Sus scrofa: one gene and its partners. The protein of the gene in region 2 interacts with the protein of the main gene of each other region in a biochemical or structural test. Links are inferred from orthologs where the notes say so. Each region holds a gene or a part of one and is shown on either strand. Other genes may lie near its edges. The genes, in order: ELF3, MED23 and SREBF1.

What was found.
Region 1: the proteins of MED23 (region 2) and ELF3 form a complex in vitro, tested with the Homo sapiens proteins (4 studies listed by BioGRID, with this or other methods). The link is inferred for Sus scrofa from reciprocal best matches to the Homo sapiens genes MED23 and ELF3.
Region 3: the proteins of MED23 (region 2) and SREBF1 form a complex in vitro, tested with the Homo sapiens proteins (2 studies listed by BioGRID). The link is inferred for Sus scrofa from reciprocal best matches to the Homo sapiens genes MED23 and SREBF1.

What each region holds. Positions count from the first base shown.
Region 1 is NC_010452.4:24,235,322-24,241,028, forward strand, and holds the start of ELF3 (ETS-related transcription factor Elf-3), read left to right. Parts: upstream 1-2,530; 5' UTR 2,531-2,551; coding exon 2,552-2,678; intron 2,679-2,996; exon of another isoform or gene 2,997-3,067; coding exon 3,068-3,238; intron 3,239-3,484; coding exon 3,485-3,706; intron 3,707-3,820; coding exon 3,821-3,916; intron 3,917-4,007; coding exon 4,008-4,127; intron 4,128-4,252; coding exon 4,253-4,558; intron 4,559-5,529; coding exon 5,530-5,707. UniProt on the Homo sapiens protein: Transcriptional activator that binds and transactivates ETS sequences containing the consensus nucleotide core sequence GGA[AT]. Acts synergistically with POU2F3 to transactivate the SPRR2A promoter and with RUNX1 to transactivate the ANGPT1 promoter.
Region 2 is NC_010443.5:31,966,061-31,971,667, forward strand, and holds part of MED23 (mediator of RNA polymerase II transcription subunit 23), read left to right. Parts: intron 1-740; coding exon 741-839; intron 840-1,895; coding exon 1,896-1,997; intron 1,998-2,418; coding exon 2,419-2,488; intron 2,489-4,032; coding exon 4,033-4,145; intron 4,146-5,607. UniProt on the Homo sapiens protein: Required for transcriptional activation subsequent to the assembly of the pre-initiation complex. Component of the Mediator complex, a coactivator involved in the regulated transcription of nearly all RNA polymerase II-dependent genes.
Region 3 is NC_010454.4:60,738,718-60,744,424, forward strand, and holds the start of SREBF1 (sterol regulatory element-binding protein 1), read left to right. Parts: upstream 1-2,594; 5' UTR 2,595-2,703; coding exon 2,704-2,722; intron 2,723-4,050; coding exon 4,051-4,482; intron 4,483-4,879; coding exon 4,880-5,067; intron 5,068-5,149; coding exon 5,150-5,287; intron 5,288-5,364; coding exon 5,365-5,586; intron 5,587-5,707.

The DNA of each region.
Region 1 (5,707 bases), on a different chromosome or scaffold from region 2:
GGCAGCAGCACCTGCGGCTCTGGGGGCCGCCCCCTCCCCAGCTGAGTCTCTGGGATTTTTTTCCTCTTTTTAATTTTTTTTTTCCTTTTTCTTTTTTTTCTTTGGCTGATTCATGAAATACTGTGCAAAGGGCTGCATTTTGGTGATTCTTTTTCAAGTTTAATCGCTCTTTTAATAAATATTTTTTTTTAAGTGGAAAGTATTTGACTGTGCCGTTCCTTCCCCCAGGATCCCCCCACCCCACTGCAGTTCTCATCAGGTCAGAGGGACCCAGAGGACAGTGTCCCCTCTTCTTAGGTCCCCTCCCCCACCCTGGGCTGGCAGAGGAGGGGGGTCCCACAGGAGCATATGAAAGATAGAGGGCACACCTCTCAAGCACAGCCTCTGCCGAGAGAACCTGTGGGTGAGCTGCTCCTCTTCTGCAGTGCCCCCCCCATCTTTTCCATCAGTGCAAATAAACTTGCAGTGGACTGGCTGCAAGGCTGTTGACACGGGCCTCCACCCCTCCTCTGCACAGGGTCTGGTGGGCAGTGGTCCTGGGCACCTGGAGCTTCCCCAACACAGGGGCGCCCAGCATACCATCCTGGCTGTCTGTTACGGGAAGGGCTGTCCAGATGCCTCCCCGCTCCCTTGCGTTCTGCACAGATCCTGCGGACCCAGGAGCCTCCTTTCTCAGCCTAGTTTCACAGCTGGGCGTCCTGGGGCTCACAGCCTGTGTCCCCCACAGTCCTGTCCTTTCTTAGGTCTAGAGGTTGTGCCACTGCTCCCGCATCTCCCCCTGCCCCCCCCCCCATCCCCCTGGCCACTCCAGGCCCTGACCCCTCCCCACCGCTACATCACCTGCTAAGGGAGGCCAGCCCACAAGCACGCTTGACAGCCCCACTTCTCCCAGGAGCCTGAGGCCTGCGGCCTTTCTCCCTGCTGCCTCCACATCCCTCCCCACCCCAGCCTCAGCCAGGTACTCTCCCCTGGAGCACGTGAGCTATCCTGGGGCTGGAGCCCAGAGCTGGTTCTCCCACATTCCAGGGCGAGGGACTGGGTGGAGGGCGTGCCTGGGGCTGTGGGGGAGGCCCCCCCCCAAGGGCTGGGGCCCTGCTCCCCAGGGCCCAGGCCCCCCACTCCCGGCTCAGTGGAAGGGGGCCAGACCCTCACTCCCTCTGCGCATCCAGCAATTTCAGAGCTGAGACTGGAAGCAGATGCCAGAGGAACGTCTTATTCCTCGCAGGGAGGGTTAAAGGAGGGGGCTGGGGGGCGCCCAGGACTGTGTGGGGGGGAGATACTCAGATCCTGCCTCTGCGATGTGGCCACGAGTGAGATTGGAGGTATCTGAGGGACTATTGTATCCAAACACACTCTTTTTCACGGATGGCAACCGGAAGAGACCCCAGAGGTCTCCCGCCCCCTCGCCACCTGGCTGCCCTCCCCCCGCCCCACAGGGCCTCGGGGGTCTGCAGGACGCCCCTTGGGGTCCGCAGTGGGGCTGGGTTCATGGAGAGGACCCTGTGTGGAAAGGTCACCTTGCCCAGAGGGAGGGCGAGGTCGACTGGAAAGAGCGCCGGGTGGGGGAGTTAAACCACAGCTCCACCACTTAACTAGGTCCGCGTGGCCTGGGCGGGTCATTCAGCCCTCGAGCTGCAACCTCCCGATCTGTAAAAGGAGGACAACCACACATTCCCGCCGCCGCGCTGCCCCGCCGCGTCCCCGATGCGGGCGAAGGGCGGGGCCTCTGGCCGCTAGGGGGCAGCAGGCAGGCGCCGGCACCCGAGGAGCGGAGGTTAGACGGGGAGGTCAGACGGAGGCCACAGAGAGCCGTAAACACCCGCACGTGGGGCCAGCGCCCTCTGCAGCCCCTGCCAGCACCCCCTTCTAGGTGGGCTCCATCAGGGGTCCGGGGGGTTTCTGAGCAGAGCCAGGTGCTTGGACAGGGGTGACCGTGATGCTTGTGGGGCATCCAGCAGGCAAAGAATGCCAAGACCTTGCCAACAAAGGAGAGGACAGTGGTGGGCCCTGTGGCTAGGGACGCCAGGGCCCTACCCAGACCCCCGTGAATGTAGCCTGGTGTCTAGAGAGCCTTCCAGCCTGAATCCTGGGCATCGTGGGAAAAACCCCAGACCTCAGTATCTTCTCTCCCTGCTCCATCCCCTTTGTCTTCAGACCTGCAGACATTGGGGGCCGGGAGTGTTCCCGACCCAGCTCTGACCCAGTCACGCACCCTCCCCTAGCCTGTCCCTGCCTGGCCCCCCTAAGGAATTTCCTGAGCCAGGGGGTGGCCGAAAGTGCACATGCCCACCCAGCGGCTCTCGGCCCCCCGCCCAGGCCACTGCCCTGTGCCCAACCCCAGAGGGTGCGGGATGACAGACCCTGACAATCATTAAACCAGCAGGGCCTGACTTCCCAGCACCGCAGCCTGGATCCCAGCCAAGAGGCACAAAATATGCAAATCACCTGGGGCCAGGAGCCCAGTCTAAAGGCCAGGAAATCCCCTCGACCAATGAGCCACCAGCTCAGGTTACCGCAGGCGCCTATAAAGGCCTGGGCGGGCGGAGCTCAGATGCTTGTTCTTAGGGCGCCGGGAGCGCAGCCAGAGCCTCTGCGCACCACCACCTGGCAGAGCTTGTCCCCGGATTCTTCCCGCCTGCTGTCCCCTAACCTGCCTGCCACACCCTCAGCCGCCACCGGTAGGACCCCAGCCCATCATGTTACCCAGCCCGGCCTGGGGACACTGGGGGTGAGGGGGCACTGGGGAACCTGTGTCTCCCCCAGCAGTTCGCAGGGTGGAATTCCCAGCCAGAGTGCAGGTGGTGTCCCCAGGGCCTTGTCCTGGGGGGGACAGACTGCTGGTCCCACTCAAGGACCCAGGTGGGCTGAGGAGGGAGCCTGGTGGGGGGCCTTGTGCCCCCACCCCTGCCCCAGCTTAGAGACCTTGGAGCCCTTATGGAGGAATAGGTGTCCCCAGAGCTGTTGACCTTCGCGCCCTTGGGCCCTTCCTGCCCCAGGCTTGGCTGGAGCAGAGTGGCTGGAGGGTAGGAGAGGACCGGCCCTCATCTGCCTCGCCCTCCCTTCCCAGGGAGCCTCATGGCCGCAACCTGCGAGATTAGCAACGTTTTTAGCAATTACTTCAGTACGATGTACAGCTCGGAGGACCCCACTCTGGCTTCTGTTCCCGCCGCTGCCACCTTTGGGGCCGACGACCTGGTGCTGGCCCTGGGCAGCCCACAGATGCCCCTGGAGGGCCCAGGTGGGTCTCAGGCTGCGGTGGGGTGTTTGAGGAAGGGGAGACGAGCATCTAAGAGCCTGTGGACAAATGGGGGTCAGGCAGGGAGGGCGGCTGGGGTGAGCTGTAAGCAGTTGGCGTGCTGGGGTTTGGGGGCCGGGAATGGTTGTGAGCAGTGCTTCCTGCCCCAGCCTGGCTGGGTTCTCGGAGAGGCACCCCAATGGGCTCCAGAAGGGGGCTGACCTGCCGCCACCTGCCCGTCCCCTGCAGAGAAGGCCAGCTGGTCGGGGGAGCAGCCCCAGCTCTGGTCCAAGGCCCAGGTTCTGGACTGGATCAGCTACCAAGTGGAGAAGCACAAATACGACGCCAGCACCATCGACCTCTCGCGCTGTGACATGGACGGGGCCGCGCTCTGCCGCTGCGCCCCTGAGGAGCTGCGCCTGGTCTTCGGGCCCTTGGGGGACCAGCTCTATGCTCAGCTATGGGACCTCAGTAAGTCCTGGAGGGGCCTTCCCCGTCAGGGAGGCTGGTCTGGGGAGCCGCCCTAGAGGGAGCCCGGGGGAGGGGAGAGGAGCCAGCCTGGGCCCTGATCCCCCTTCTTATCAGCTTCCAGCTTTCCTGACGAGCTCAGCTGGATCATGGAACTTCTGGAGAAGGACAGCATGACCCTCCAGGAGCCCCTCGGAGACCAGGGCCCCTTTGGTGAGAGTCTTCGGCATCCCCAGCCTGTCCTCCCCATTTCTGCCCGGTGCCACCCAGTCAGACCCATCTGAACCCTCCCCTGTTCTCCCAGACCAGGGAAGCCCCTTCGCCCAAGAGATGCTGGAGGACTGCAGACAGCCCAGCCCCTTCTACCCGGGCAGCTTCAGCGCGGGAGCCCCCTCCCCAGGCAGCTCCGATGTCTCCACCGCAGGTGAGCCCGGCTGGCGTCTGCCCACAGCTCCCCCTGCCCCAGAGGCCCTGGCTTCCCTGGAGGATGGATGGGAGTCGGTGGGCAGCAGTGTGGCTGGGAGGGGCTCACACCCACTCCCTCCCCAGGCACTGGAGCCTCCCAGAGCTCCCCCACCTCAGACTCCGGTGGAAGCGACGTGGACCTGGACGCCCCTGACAGCAAGCCCTTCTCCGGGGGTGAGCCGAGGTCTCCTGGTCCCCACGGGGGGTCCCACTGGCAGTGCCTGGAGCCAGCCCCCATCCCTCCCTACCCTGACCCACCACCTCTCCCCACAGATGGCTTCCCAGACTACAAGAAGGGGGATCTGAAGCACGGGAAGCGGAAACGGGGCCGCCCCCGAAAGCTGAGCAAAGAATCTCGGGGGTGTCTGGAGGGAACGAAGAGCAAGCATGGTGAGGGGGGGACCTGCATGGTGGGGAGGGCTGAATGGTGGGAGGGGGGCCTGCGCGGTGTGTGTGTGGGGGCTCACACCATTCCTCCCTCCTGCCCTCATTGCAGCTGTGCCTGAGGCCAGGGCCCTGGGTATGGGTCACTGCCTAGCAGCAGAGCTGGTTGGTGGTCCCTCAGGGGGGCACCTGGGGAAGGCTGGAGGTGGAGTCTAGTCTCCCTGCCCCTGCCCTGTCCTGCCTGGGGGGCCCATTTGCTGGTGGGAAGAGGCTGGTGGGTGCTGGGCAGGCTCAGGCAGGGACAGTGGCTGGGCTGCTGGATGCCCCGCCCACTGAGGGCTGGGCCAAGGCGGCCCTTCCCCTACCAAGTCCCTGCCCGCTGGCCTCTGGCCTTGAGTGAGTTCCCACCACCCTCCCCACTGGGAGTGTCCCTGCAGCTCTTGCTCATCCATGCTGCCTGCCCCCTGCCCCCAGCTTTGGGCCTGTTTTCTTCTTGGGCTTCTTTCCAAGAAGCTGTCCCCTTGGCCCCCAGGCTGGGGCCAGCTCTGTGCTCCTATACCTAACAAGCTCTCACCACTAGCTGGTGTATTTGCTTTGTTTTACCATGACCCCTCCAAACCACAAGCCCCTCAAGGCAGTGCTATGTCTCACCGCTCTGGTATCCAAGCCAGATATTTGATCAGTATTGGAGTGTGTTTAATCTCTGTGCTGTGTGAGACACGTGTTTTTGGAGCTTCCCAGCTGTCCAGTGGGTGAGGCGAGGAAGGAGGCAGCCATCAGTAGGCAGCATGCTGGGCCAGGCAGGGAGGCAGCCATCAGTAGGCAGTGTGCTGGGATGGGCAGGGAGGCAGCCATCAGTAGGCAGCATGCTGGGCCAGGCAGGGAGGCAGCCATCAGTAGGATGTGTGCTGGGATGGGCAGCAGTCATGTGAGTTGGGGGTGCCCTGGGCTACTGACTGATGGAACTGGCCTTGTAGCCCCCAGAGGCACCCACCTGTGGGAGTTCATCCGTGATATCCTCATCAACCCGGAGCTCAACGAGGGCCTCATGAAGTGGGAGAACCGGCAAGAAGGTGTCTTCAAGTTCCTGCGCTCCGAGGCCGTGGCCCAGCTGTGGGGTCAGAAGAAGAAGAACAGCAGCATGACCTACGAGAA
Region 2 (5,607 bases):
TTTCCTTAGCATTTTAATATGTAGTTTTTACTTCTTTACTTACTTGTATGGTGCTTTATAATTGTTTCTCATTTCTTTCATGTATATGTTTCATCTATCTCTTTTACAAGATTGATCTCATGGTTTATATTATAGAATGAAATTTCTCTACATATCGCATTCTGCTCTGAAATAATGCAGCTGGTAGTAGATATGAGTAGATGACCATTAACAGAATAGCTTTATTAGATAAGTTGGGAGGATTAAAGTATGTGATGGATTATGAGGAGGGGAATAAAGTTAGAATATGCCGACAGGAAGGAGCTGAAGGAGTCATCTACCAGAAAGTTTTATATCATTATCCATGTTTTCAGAATATTTTCAAGTTCTATTCAAACGTATTTCTGTCTGTTAAGTTCAAATTAAGGGTTTTTTTGGCACTCATAATAATAGAAACTCTTTTAATGTTATGAAGGTCAAAAAAGCTTAGTAGAGTGTGGAAAATTTAATTTTTATTTATGAGCGAGTTTCTTTGTTCATTTATACTGCAAGCTGTTCTTTACAATTCTGTTTTGGAACATGATACTTCTCTTGGGTTAATCCTAAGGGCTTGAATATTAGCTCTAGTTCAGAAAAATTAAAAGTATTACCTTGAAGATAACATTTTTCCCCCCAAGTATATAATCTTGGAACTTTTAGATATTTTAACTAGCACAGGTGACATTACTTAAGTTTAACATATGACTTTTCTATTATATCAGGGTGTTCGAGATCTTTTAAAAGTGATTTTGGAGAAAATCTTAACAATTCCCAATACAGTGAGCTCCGCTGTTGTACAGCAGCTCCTAGCAGCAAGAGAGGTAATTTAAACATTTCTGCAACTTGTTGATCATGCCTTAAAAAAAGTTTAATATTACATAGTTCTGTGCTTGTAAAACTTAATGGTAGTTTGTAAAATCTGCCATTTGCTTACTTTTGCAAGAATCAGGCCTTTTTTTTTTTTTTTTTGGCTGCACACATGGTATATGTAAATTCCTCGACCAAGGATCAAATCCAAACTGCACCTGTGACCTATGCCACAGCTGTGGCAATGTCAGATCCTTTTTTCCCACTGTGACAGGCTGGGGATCAAACCCACATTGTTGCGGAGGCAATGACAGATCCTTAACCCACTGTGCCACAGCCAGAACACCTAAAAATCATGTCTACTTTTAAAAATGCTATTTCACTTTCATTATATTTGAAGAGGAAATTAAATTTTTTTTTTCTTTTTGGGGGGCACTCATGTGGCATATGGAAATTCCCAGGCTAGGTATCAAATTGGCGCTGTAGCTGCCAGCCTACGCCACAGCCACAGCAATGCAGGATCTGAGCTACATCTGCAACCTACACCACAGCTCACTGCAACCCTGGATTGAACCCATGTGCTCATGGATACTAGTTGGATTTGTTACCACTGAGCCATGACAGGAACTCTGAAATTTTAAATTTTAATTCATAATTTTTAGTTAAAAAAAACAGATTTTAATTCATAATTTTTAATTAGGAAAAGAACAATATAGATATATTAAAGTATTTCAACCCTTATAGGAAGTCAGCCTAAGGAACACTCAAAAGATTGCTGTGTTTTGTAACTAATGTTGTAAGAATTCTTAGTCTGTTGCTTCCTGTTGGAGTCTACCAGTATTTAAAGCATTTTCAATGTCATTTATGAACTGTCAGCAATCCATTCTATTGCTTATTATTCTTCATTTTTAGATATTCTCCACTTACAAATAATTTTTTAATGCTATAGCTTAAGCCCAATGAATGAATGAAATGATATCGCTACCTTTTAATACCATTGTTGCATTTGAAGGGCTTATCTATGGGAAAGGTGAGTCAAAATAATAACATTGCCCTTTTATTTTACTTAGGTTATTGCATATATCTTGGAAAGAAATGCTTGCTTACTACCAGCATATTTTGCAGTTACAGAGATCAGGAAACTATATCCTGAGGGAAAACTTCCACACTGGGTAAATTTTTCTAAAATTTTTACTAGAAATTTGTATTAAAAATAGTTATATTGATTTTATTTTTATGTGCTTGCTTTTTAAAAGTCATTTTATCTGTAGATAATAATCATTTTTTATTATGAGATGATATATTTCTTTCATTTCTTTGCTATTCTGTTGAGACAGTTTGTATATCATTGTGATCAAATATACTCAGCTTCATTAATTAGTGAAGGACATGGTGGTATGACCTGGCTTAATTCAGGGATAAATGAACTGGTAAATAATTGTTTGGAAGAAGCAAAAGAAAACTAATCTTTGAGTAATTTTATGTGTCAGGAATTGTATTAAATCTTTACATATTGTTTTATATAAATGATCCTTGTATTGAGGAAAATCTTGATTTTATTTTTATACTTATTTGTTTTCTGTTTTGTTTTAGTTACTTGGAAACCTGGTATCAGACTTTGTGGATACTTTCAGGCCTACAGCAAGGATAAATTCCATTTGTGGTAGGACTATAATCTAAAATATACCAAACAGTACCCAATTTTTAGCGATCTGACTATTGAACAAAGTTAATGCATGGTATCTAGTACATGTCTTCATGACTTACACAAGGTATAACTCTAGGAGCTTAATAATGGCCTTTTGCTTGTTTTCAGGTACTTTGTGCTGAGCGTAAGGAGGGAAAAGCAACTGTCTGGACTGGGTCTAAGCTTGAGATAGAACCATTCTAGAAAGTGTATTTCCCAGTGATTAGAGGGAACTTTCAATAGTTAGTGTCATGGAATCTGTAGACAACTGAAAGTCTCAATGGATCTGTCCCTCTCTGGCTGTAGTATACAACATTATCTGACTCTCTCAGCCCATACTAATTTACATCTTTGCTCTGTATGTCGTTTATTTTCCATTTTTTCATGTTTGTTAGATTCTCTGAGTTTTCTTTTAAAAATAAATATTTATTTTGCAATTTTTGCAGGGATCATATATTTTCCTGAATTTTTTCTAGAAATCTTGGTAGCCTCTGAACAGCCTGGGAATATAGACTTTTTTTTTTGTCTTTTTGCCTTTTCTAGGGCTGCCTCCCATGGCATATGGAGGTTGCCAGGCTAGGGGTCTAATCGGAGCTATGGCTACCGGCCTACGCCAGAGCCATGGCAACGCGGGATCCGAGCCATGTCTGCAACCTACACTACAGCTCACGGCAACGCCAGATCGTTAACCCACTAAGCAAGGGCAGGGACCGAACCCTCAACCTCATGGTTCCTAGTCGGATTCGTTAACCATTGCGCCACGACAGGAAGTCCAGTATAGGCCATTATTTAGTCAGTGACCAAATTTTGAGCATTTTCTATGAGTCAGGTGCTATTCTAGACACTGAAAATACAAAAATAAAGAGACCCAAGATGGATAAACCTCAGGCTTCTAGCTTTTGTAACTGAGTGGATATTGACATCATTTAATGAATTATGGAAGTGGTGCAGGTTTGAGAAGGATGATGATGAATTTAGCTTAAGTGTTGTTGAACTTGAGGTGCCTGCAGGGCATCCCAGTGATAGTGTTCATCAGGCAGTTGGATGCATGAGCAGACTGATGGTCATATACAACATCCAAGGCCTCTAGGAACATCATGTTTAAAGTTACTCATGTTGACCCTAGACTAAAGGTCCATAAACGTTTTCTGTAAATGGTGATGTAAGAAATATTTTAGGCTTCATGGGCTATACAATCAATTGCAACTACCCAACTCTGTCATTACAGTGCAAAAGCAGAAGGATTCCAATAAAACTTTACAAAACAGGTGGCTAGCTGGATTTGGTTCATGGGTCGTAGCTTGCCGACCTCTGTCCCTGGATAGATGGAACATCTGTGAGTTTGGAAGGCCCGTGCAAATTGGTCTTTAACCATCTGGAAGGAAATCCCCAAACTTCCATTTAATTAAAATATTTTTTAAATCAGTGCCTGGTTTAGCATATGTATTCATTAAATATTTGAAAAACCAGGTGTTACTGTGTTCACATTTATTTAGAAACATTTTTTGTAATATGTACAGGCCGCTGCAGCCTTCTGCCAGTTGTAAATAACTCGGGTGCCATTTGTAACTCATGGAAATTGGACCCTGCAACTCTCCGTTTTCCTTTGAAAGGCCTATTGCCATATGATAAGGTATGTTACTAAGTATAATGGAACTTTTGATCCATTAAGAGTCTTTATCCTGGATTATATGATGTGTAATGCTAAATTATCTTTTCATAGACTAAAGAAGTGAATATTTAATGAAAGATAGTTTATGATTTATCATATGATTTCAGTATGCAAGTATAGCATGTGGTTTTTCATATTGCTGATGTTTATGTTCCAGTGGTCCACCTCTAGCAAAACACTTACAGTTAGAAACATGAATTTTTCTTTTTGGCCTTGCCACAGCATATGGCAGTTCTTAGACCAGGCATCGAACCTGCTCCACAGCAGTGACCTGGGCCACTGCGGTGATAACGCTGGATCTTTAACCCACTGCCTCACAAAGGAACATCAGAAAATTGAACTTTTAAATTAATTCTTTGTTTTCATTTTTCTTTACAAAGCAAGGACCAAAAATGAATTTGCAGTATTGCTAAAATCTGAAGAGTGAGCCTCCTCTTTGTTAGATTTTTTTTTTTTTTTTCAAAAGGGAAGGGGCAAGGGAGGACAAAAGTAGAGTAGAAAATTCTCAAAGAAAAAAAAATACAAACACCCATAAAATGAAATATGAGATATGGACATAAAGTTCTAATGAAGTTTGATAAATTCATTTTATCCATCTTGGGGTTTGCAGTGGTAACAGAGCAGGAGGTGCAGAGGGCAAGATTGTTTTCATGTAAATGTTTCATGTTAAAAATGATGTACAGAGGGATTAGGAAACTTGTCTAAAAGGAGGGTTAAATAGTGCAACTGAGGTGATAGTTCTGGGCTCTCGGCACGTTAGTTAGCAAAACTTTGGAATGTGAAAAAGTGGTAAACTAAATGGAATATGCCATCATCATGATAATAATAATGAGTACAGATAAACTTATTGTATACTTATGTGCCAGGCACTGTTTTAAGAGTTTGACTTTGCAACAAACTTTATTCTTAGCAATCATCTTAATATTTCCCTTATTCAGATGATGAAACTGAGACACAAAGTGGGAGAGTAACTTGACTAGCCCCCCCCGCCAATTTAGGAAATAGTATGGTCAGAATTTTAACTCAGACAATCTGATTCTGGCATCTAAACTCTTCAGCTCTGTGCTGTCCAGTCATTATTCGTTCTGTCCAAATTTGGAAAATAGTATTAACATTTACACCTGTATGAGAATGTACAAGTGTAAATGTAAACACTATTCCTCTTTGATTGGATTTCTGGGCAAAAATCCTTTCCTTACAGTGATGCTTAAGAATTTCATAGTGCTGAAGCCATTTCTAAGTTTTTCTCTATGTCCTTGGGCAAGTCCCTTCACTGCAGATACATCACTTATTTAATAAAGGGTGGGAACAGATTAATTGTAAGCACTAAAATCCTATGATTTTTTTCCACTAGATACTGCCTACTGTGTGAAGGTAACAAGTGCCTTTAGAGGATTTTTTAATCCCAATTTCAAATTATTTG
Region 3 (5,707 bases), on a different chromosome or scaffold from region 2:
GTGGAAGCCACACTGGCCTCCTCCCACCTCAGGGCCTGTGCACTTGCTGTCTCTACTCAGATGTCCCCTCTTCAGAGAGGCCTGCCCTGACTGCCTCGGTTTCCCCACGGTGCTCGGCAGCACCTGTGCCTCCACTCTTCCATGTATCTGCAGACTGTCGGTGTCCCTTTGCTAGAACGTAAAAGGCCCACAAGGGAGGTCTTCAGGCTGTGTCCCTGTACCCCAGGGCTCAGCACAGGCTGGACATGCAGTAGACGCTTCGGAATTGACAGTCGATATTGTCAGTGAAACAGATCTGGGCTTCATGGACCAGGTCATGTGGGGAAGGTGGTGAGCTCCCTGTCCCAGGAGGCATGTAAGCACAGTTTGGGGTTCAGGGTCTCATGCAGGTTGGATGGGCCATGGGCTCCTGTGATGGTCAGAGCAGGACTCGTGCAGGCTCGTGGTGTGGGGTGTTCCCAGGATTTGCAGCATGGCGCTCCCAGAATAAACAGGCCTTTAGAGGGAGGTTTGAAGGTAGAGCCAGGGAGGGCGGGAGGGGGCTCAGGTTTCCTGTTGGGTCCTGATGGAATCCGGGCAGGAGAGGAGGAAGGAGAGGAAAAGGAGGGTCTGGCTTGGGGAGGGCGGGAAGGTGAGGAGGGGGGCAGGCGGGCCCACCTGTGCCTCTCTTCCCTGCGTTAAGGGCACGCGGGCCGCCCCTCCTGCCGGCAGCTGAGCCTGGGCTCACTGGAGGTTGGGCCCCACTTGGGGGGAACCCTGGCCAGCCTTTCTCCCGGGAACTGGGGTGAGACAGCGGGGAGCTTCCTTAAACAGTGTGCCCTGGGCGCCTTTCTCGCCTCCCAGAACCCCCTCCTCCGAGATCAGGGGTGAGGGACTCCCCTGGGACTACACAGCAAGGGAGGGCTGGGGCGCAGGTCCAGCCCCTCTTGGCCCTGGCACCCGGCTGCTGCAGAAATTGGCTCTATGTGTGTGTGTCACGGGGGTGGGAAGTCCAGTCGGGCCATGAGTTCAGGGGTGGCCCTCTGCATGCCACCAGGTGCCTGTTCCTCACTGCATCTTAGCTTAGGTTGTGTCTCCCGGCCTGCCTGGGGTGGGCCCCAGGAGGTGGCGGCAGGGCCGCTGGGAGCCTCTCCTTCTGCCTCCTTGGTCTGGATGCGTTGGGGCAGGGCATGGCCAGGTGAGAAATGGGAAGCACAAGAGTGCGGAGAAGGGCAGAGGAAGGTGGCTCCGGTGGGGCGGCCGGCCACGGCCCTGCTGGTCCACCTGCCAGGTCCTGGGCTCACACACGGGAGCACAGTGAGGACAGGACCTGCCGTGAGTTTGAATTCAGACCTCGTGTCTTCTGGTCTCAGTCAGGCGAGGTCAGAGCCTTCCCAACAGCAATGTCTTGTGTGACTTTTCGGGTGAGGGCCTGGCAGAGGAGAGAGGGAAGTGGAGGTGCTGGAGAATTCTGCTGCCCTCGTTACCCTCCCGCACGGCCGTGGCCACGGCAGGAGCCGGGCAAAGGGGGAGCGTGTGTGTGGGAGAGGCAGCCTCCTGGAGAGGGAGAGCATCCGGCCAGGGCTCTCCGGCCCCCACCTGCCACCGGCCCCCACCTGCCACCGTCGGCTCCATCGGCCCCTCTAAGGCTGCGGGAGACCAGGAGAGGGAGCAGGGCTGGGCCCAGCTGTGGCTGGAGGCCGGCTTGAGCCCTGGGGTCTGTTTGGCCGCAAAAGCCCAAGCTGGCAGCCTGGGCTGCTGGCCAGGCTCTGTCCCTCTGAGTGTGTGGCGCTCTGACCTTCGAAGCCGAGAGAGGCCCAGGTGGCCCCCCAGCGACCCCGAGCCTGTCACCCTCCGCCCCAAGGCCTGCCCCACCCCACAGCGAGTGAGTCAGGCTCCCCCCTGAGACTGCTGGGGAGTGTGGGGGTGGGTTCGCCTTCCCGGACCCCCACCCCAGACCCTGGCCCCTCTGCAGAGGGCGTCAGCTCTGGCTGTGCACTTGCGGTGGGGCTGTCCCTTCCGCACTCGCTCAGGCTCCAGGCAGTGGCCCGGCCCCGGCCCACGGGGTGGGGACTCACGCTGGGGCTGCCGTGAGGGGGAGGTCCCCGCCCCCACGGCCAGACAGCCCTTCGCCTCACTTGAGCCTGCACCCATTACTTGTCCCCGTCGATGCAGGGAAACGTGCTCGTCCCATTTTCCCGGAGCGCACTGCGACTTAGCGCGGTTGAGACCCGCGGCGGAGGGCTGGGCCATCCCTGGCCCACCCCCGGCCCCGCGCCTCTCAGCCCCCGCAGCCCCTTCGGCCGCACTCTCGGAGATGGCGGGACGTGACCGCCAGTAACCCTGCGGACGTCGGCGCGGGGCGGGTTAAGGGCCGGCGTCCGCGAGTAACCCCGGCCCTCTGCGGCCCCGCGGGGCGCAACCCGAACCGCGCGGTGGGGGTGGGGCGGGGCCGGGGCGGGGCCCCGGGAGGCGGTGGCGCGGCCGCTGATTGGCCGCGCGCGCTCACCCCATGCCCGGCCCGCGGCCCCGGGGCGGGGCCGGCCGGCGGGGCGGGGCCCGGGCGGGGCCGGCGAGGGGCGTGGCCGGCGGCGGGCGCTCGGGGCTTTCGCTGCTTTAAAGCGCGGCGGGCCGGCGGCCCTCGGCCGGTGGAGTCCGCGCGCGGAGACCGGCGGGCCAGCCGCCTGGACGCCCCGAGGGGCGGCGGGCGCGGGCCGCGGAACCATGGACTGCACGTTCGAAGGTATTTTTTGAGGACCCCCACCCCTTTATAGCAGAGCTTCCGTCTCCGCCGTGGGGTCCGTGCCCCCGTGCGCAGGGGGGCGGCCGGAGCTCCGAGTGAGAGCCCGCTCCTGAGGGGAGGAGCACCCGCTCCCGGCTCTCCGGGGACCTGGCGGGCCCTTCCCACCTCCGCAGTCACCCCCACCCCAAGCTCCGAAGCGAGAGGGCAGCTCTCCCACATCCCCTGCCGCCCAGGGAGAAGGGCCGCTCGGGCCCCCCTTTGGGGGCGTATGGTGGGCTTGCCGGACGGACAGTGGAGCCCTGGGTTCGGGCGCTTGTTCTTTCTGGGCCTCAGTTTCCCCATCCGTGGAAGGGGCTCAGGAAGCCTGGGCGAGGGGCTCCAGCCGGTGGAAGCAGCCTGTGCCAGTAGGCTAAGGGGTCTCCGAGGGCCCAGGAGGGCTCAGCCTGGCACCCCCCTGCCCTGCTCTGCCGGAGGTGTCGCAAGGCCCCCTGCGCAGTCACTTTCCCGCCGGAGCACCTGTCAGGCAGTGTCGAGGCCCCTCTCCTGCCGCTGGCTGCCTGCCTGCGGAACCTCTGGCTGCCCTGCCACAAGGGCTTTCATCTTGCTGTTGTGCACATGAGGAAACCGAGGCCCAGGGGCAGAAGCCACTGGCCCACACCCCACCGCCCGTCGGTGGTGGGCAGAGCTGGAAGCTCAGGCTGGGGATCACACTTGGGGTTCCCACAGTTTGCTCATGGGCCTGCAGAGCACTCCGACCCAGTGGGTGGCTCCCCCAGTGGGTTAAAGGGCCCTGGGCTGACCCAGCCGGGCTGCTACTTGCCTTCTGGGGGAGAGGGCCCGTGGCCGGGCTGGGGCTGTGGGAGGGAGGGTGTCCCAGGCGGCACGAGGAGGAAGGGGAACAGACAGCCAGAAGCGACTGCTTCTGTGGAGCGGAAGCCGAAGCCCAAATGGCCGGTTCCGAGGCTGCCTGGCTGCAGACGGGGCTTGGGCTTGTGCCCAGAACACGCAGGGATGCACTGGCTGGCGCACGCGGGGCAGGGGCTGGCTGGGGCTCCCCAGAGGGCTGGGTTGGGGAGGCAGCTCTGGAGCTGGTAGTCGGGGCCCAGGCCTCGGAGGGCCTAGCCTGCGTGGCACTGGCTCGTCCAGTGTCGCAAGGCTGTTTGATGCACCAGGCAAAGCTCCAGATGTCACAGGGGCCAGGGCACATCTGTGTCCTCGAGCATGGGCGCCCGTGTGTGGCTTTCTGTCTTGGTGGCGTCGCTCCCACGTGTTACCACGGTGTGGACGAGGGCCGCGCAGATCCGTGACGCCGCCTCTCCTCCCCTCAGACATGCTTCAGCTCATCAACAACCAAGACAGCGACTTCCCCGGCCTGTTCGACGCGCCCTACGCTGGCGTTGCAGGAGGCACGGACCCCACCAGTCCTGATGCCAGCTCCCCAGGCAGCCCGACGCCGCCTCCTTCCACCATGAGCTCCCCGCTTGAAGGCTTCCTGGGGGGGGCCAGGACGCCGCCACCGCCCCCCGTGTCCCCAACCCAGCCTGCACCCACCCCGCTGAAGATGTACCCGTCGGTGCCTGCCTTCTCGCCTGGGCCGGGCATCAAGGAGGAGCCAGTGCCACTGACCATCCTGCAGCCCCCCACCCCACAGCCCCTGTCTGGGGCTCTCCTGCCCCAGAGCCTTCCAGCCCCCGCCCCTCCGCAGTTGAGCCCTGCCCCCGTGTTGGGCTACCCCAGCCCTCCTGGAAGCTTCTCCTCAGGTAAGGGGGCGTGTGGAGGGAGGGGGCAGCGGAGCACAGGGTCAGGGGGCTGCTGTGGTCTGACTGGAGGTCCCACTTGGTGGCCTTTGGGAACAGGGTCCCTGCTCTGCTGCTTGAGGCGCCCCCGTCCCTAGCAGCACCCGGGCTCCTGTTGCCGGCGCACTGCCCCTGCTCCCCTGGTGTCCGCAGCAGCGCTGCCCTTGCGCAGATAAATGCGTGGCTGGGAAGCCAGCACACTTGCATCAGAGCCCCAGGCAGGGCCTGTCCAGATAGGCCTGAGGCCACAGGGGTGGTGACTCATCCAGGGTCACACGGTGATGAGGACGGGGCAGGACGGGGCGGGTTGAAGGTGGGTCAGGGCGGCCTGTGTCCACAGCCCCAGCCTTTGTCTCTGCAGCGACCCCTCCAGGGAGCACCTCACAGACGCTGCCTGGCCTGCCGCTGGCCTCTCTGCCCGGGGTCCCGCCCGTCTCCGTGCACACCCAGGTCCAAAGTGCGGCCCCCCAGCAGCTGTTGACAGCCACGGCCACCCCCGTGGTGTCCCCTGGAACAACCACTGTGACCTCGCAGATCCAGCAGGTCCCGGTGAGGGGGCTGGCCAGGCACCAGGGAGGTGGCAGTCCCGGCCAGCCCCTGAGCCCCCAGCTGAGCCCTCTGCCTTCCTTAGGTCCTGCTGCAGCCCCACTTCATCAAGGCGGACTCCCTGCTCCTGACGACCATGAAAACAGACATGGGGACCCCTGTGAAGGCGGCGGGCATCGGCTCCCTGGCCCCTGGCACAGCCGTGCAGGCAGCACCTTTGCAGGTGGGCAGCTCGGGCCAGGCAGGGGGCATGGGGTCTGCATGCATGCCTGCCTGCCCTAACCGTGCCTGGGCCCGCAGACCCTGGTGAGCGGCGGGACCATCCTGGCGACGGTGCCTCTGGTAGTGGACACTGACAAGCTGCCCATCAACCGCCTGGCAGCTGGGGGCAAAGCCCTGAGCTCAGGCCAGAGCCGTGGTGAGAAGCGGACGGCTCACAATGCCATCGAGAAACGCTACCGCTCCTCCATCAATGACAAGATCATCGAGCTCAAGGACCTGGTGGTGGGCACGGAGGCGAAGGTGCGGGCAGAGGCCCTGGCAGGGCGGCCCTGGGGAGGGCCGCCTGGAAGGCAGAGGCGGGTGGGGCTGAGCCTGGACAGCCAGGGCCCAGGGGCTCCGTCTGTTGAGCTAAGCTTCATGG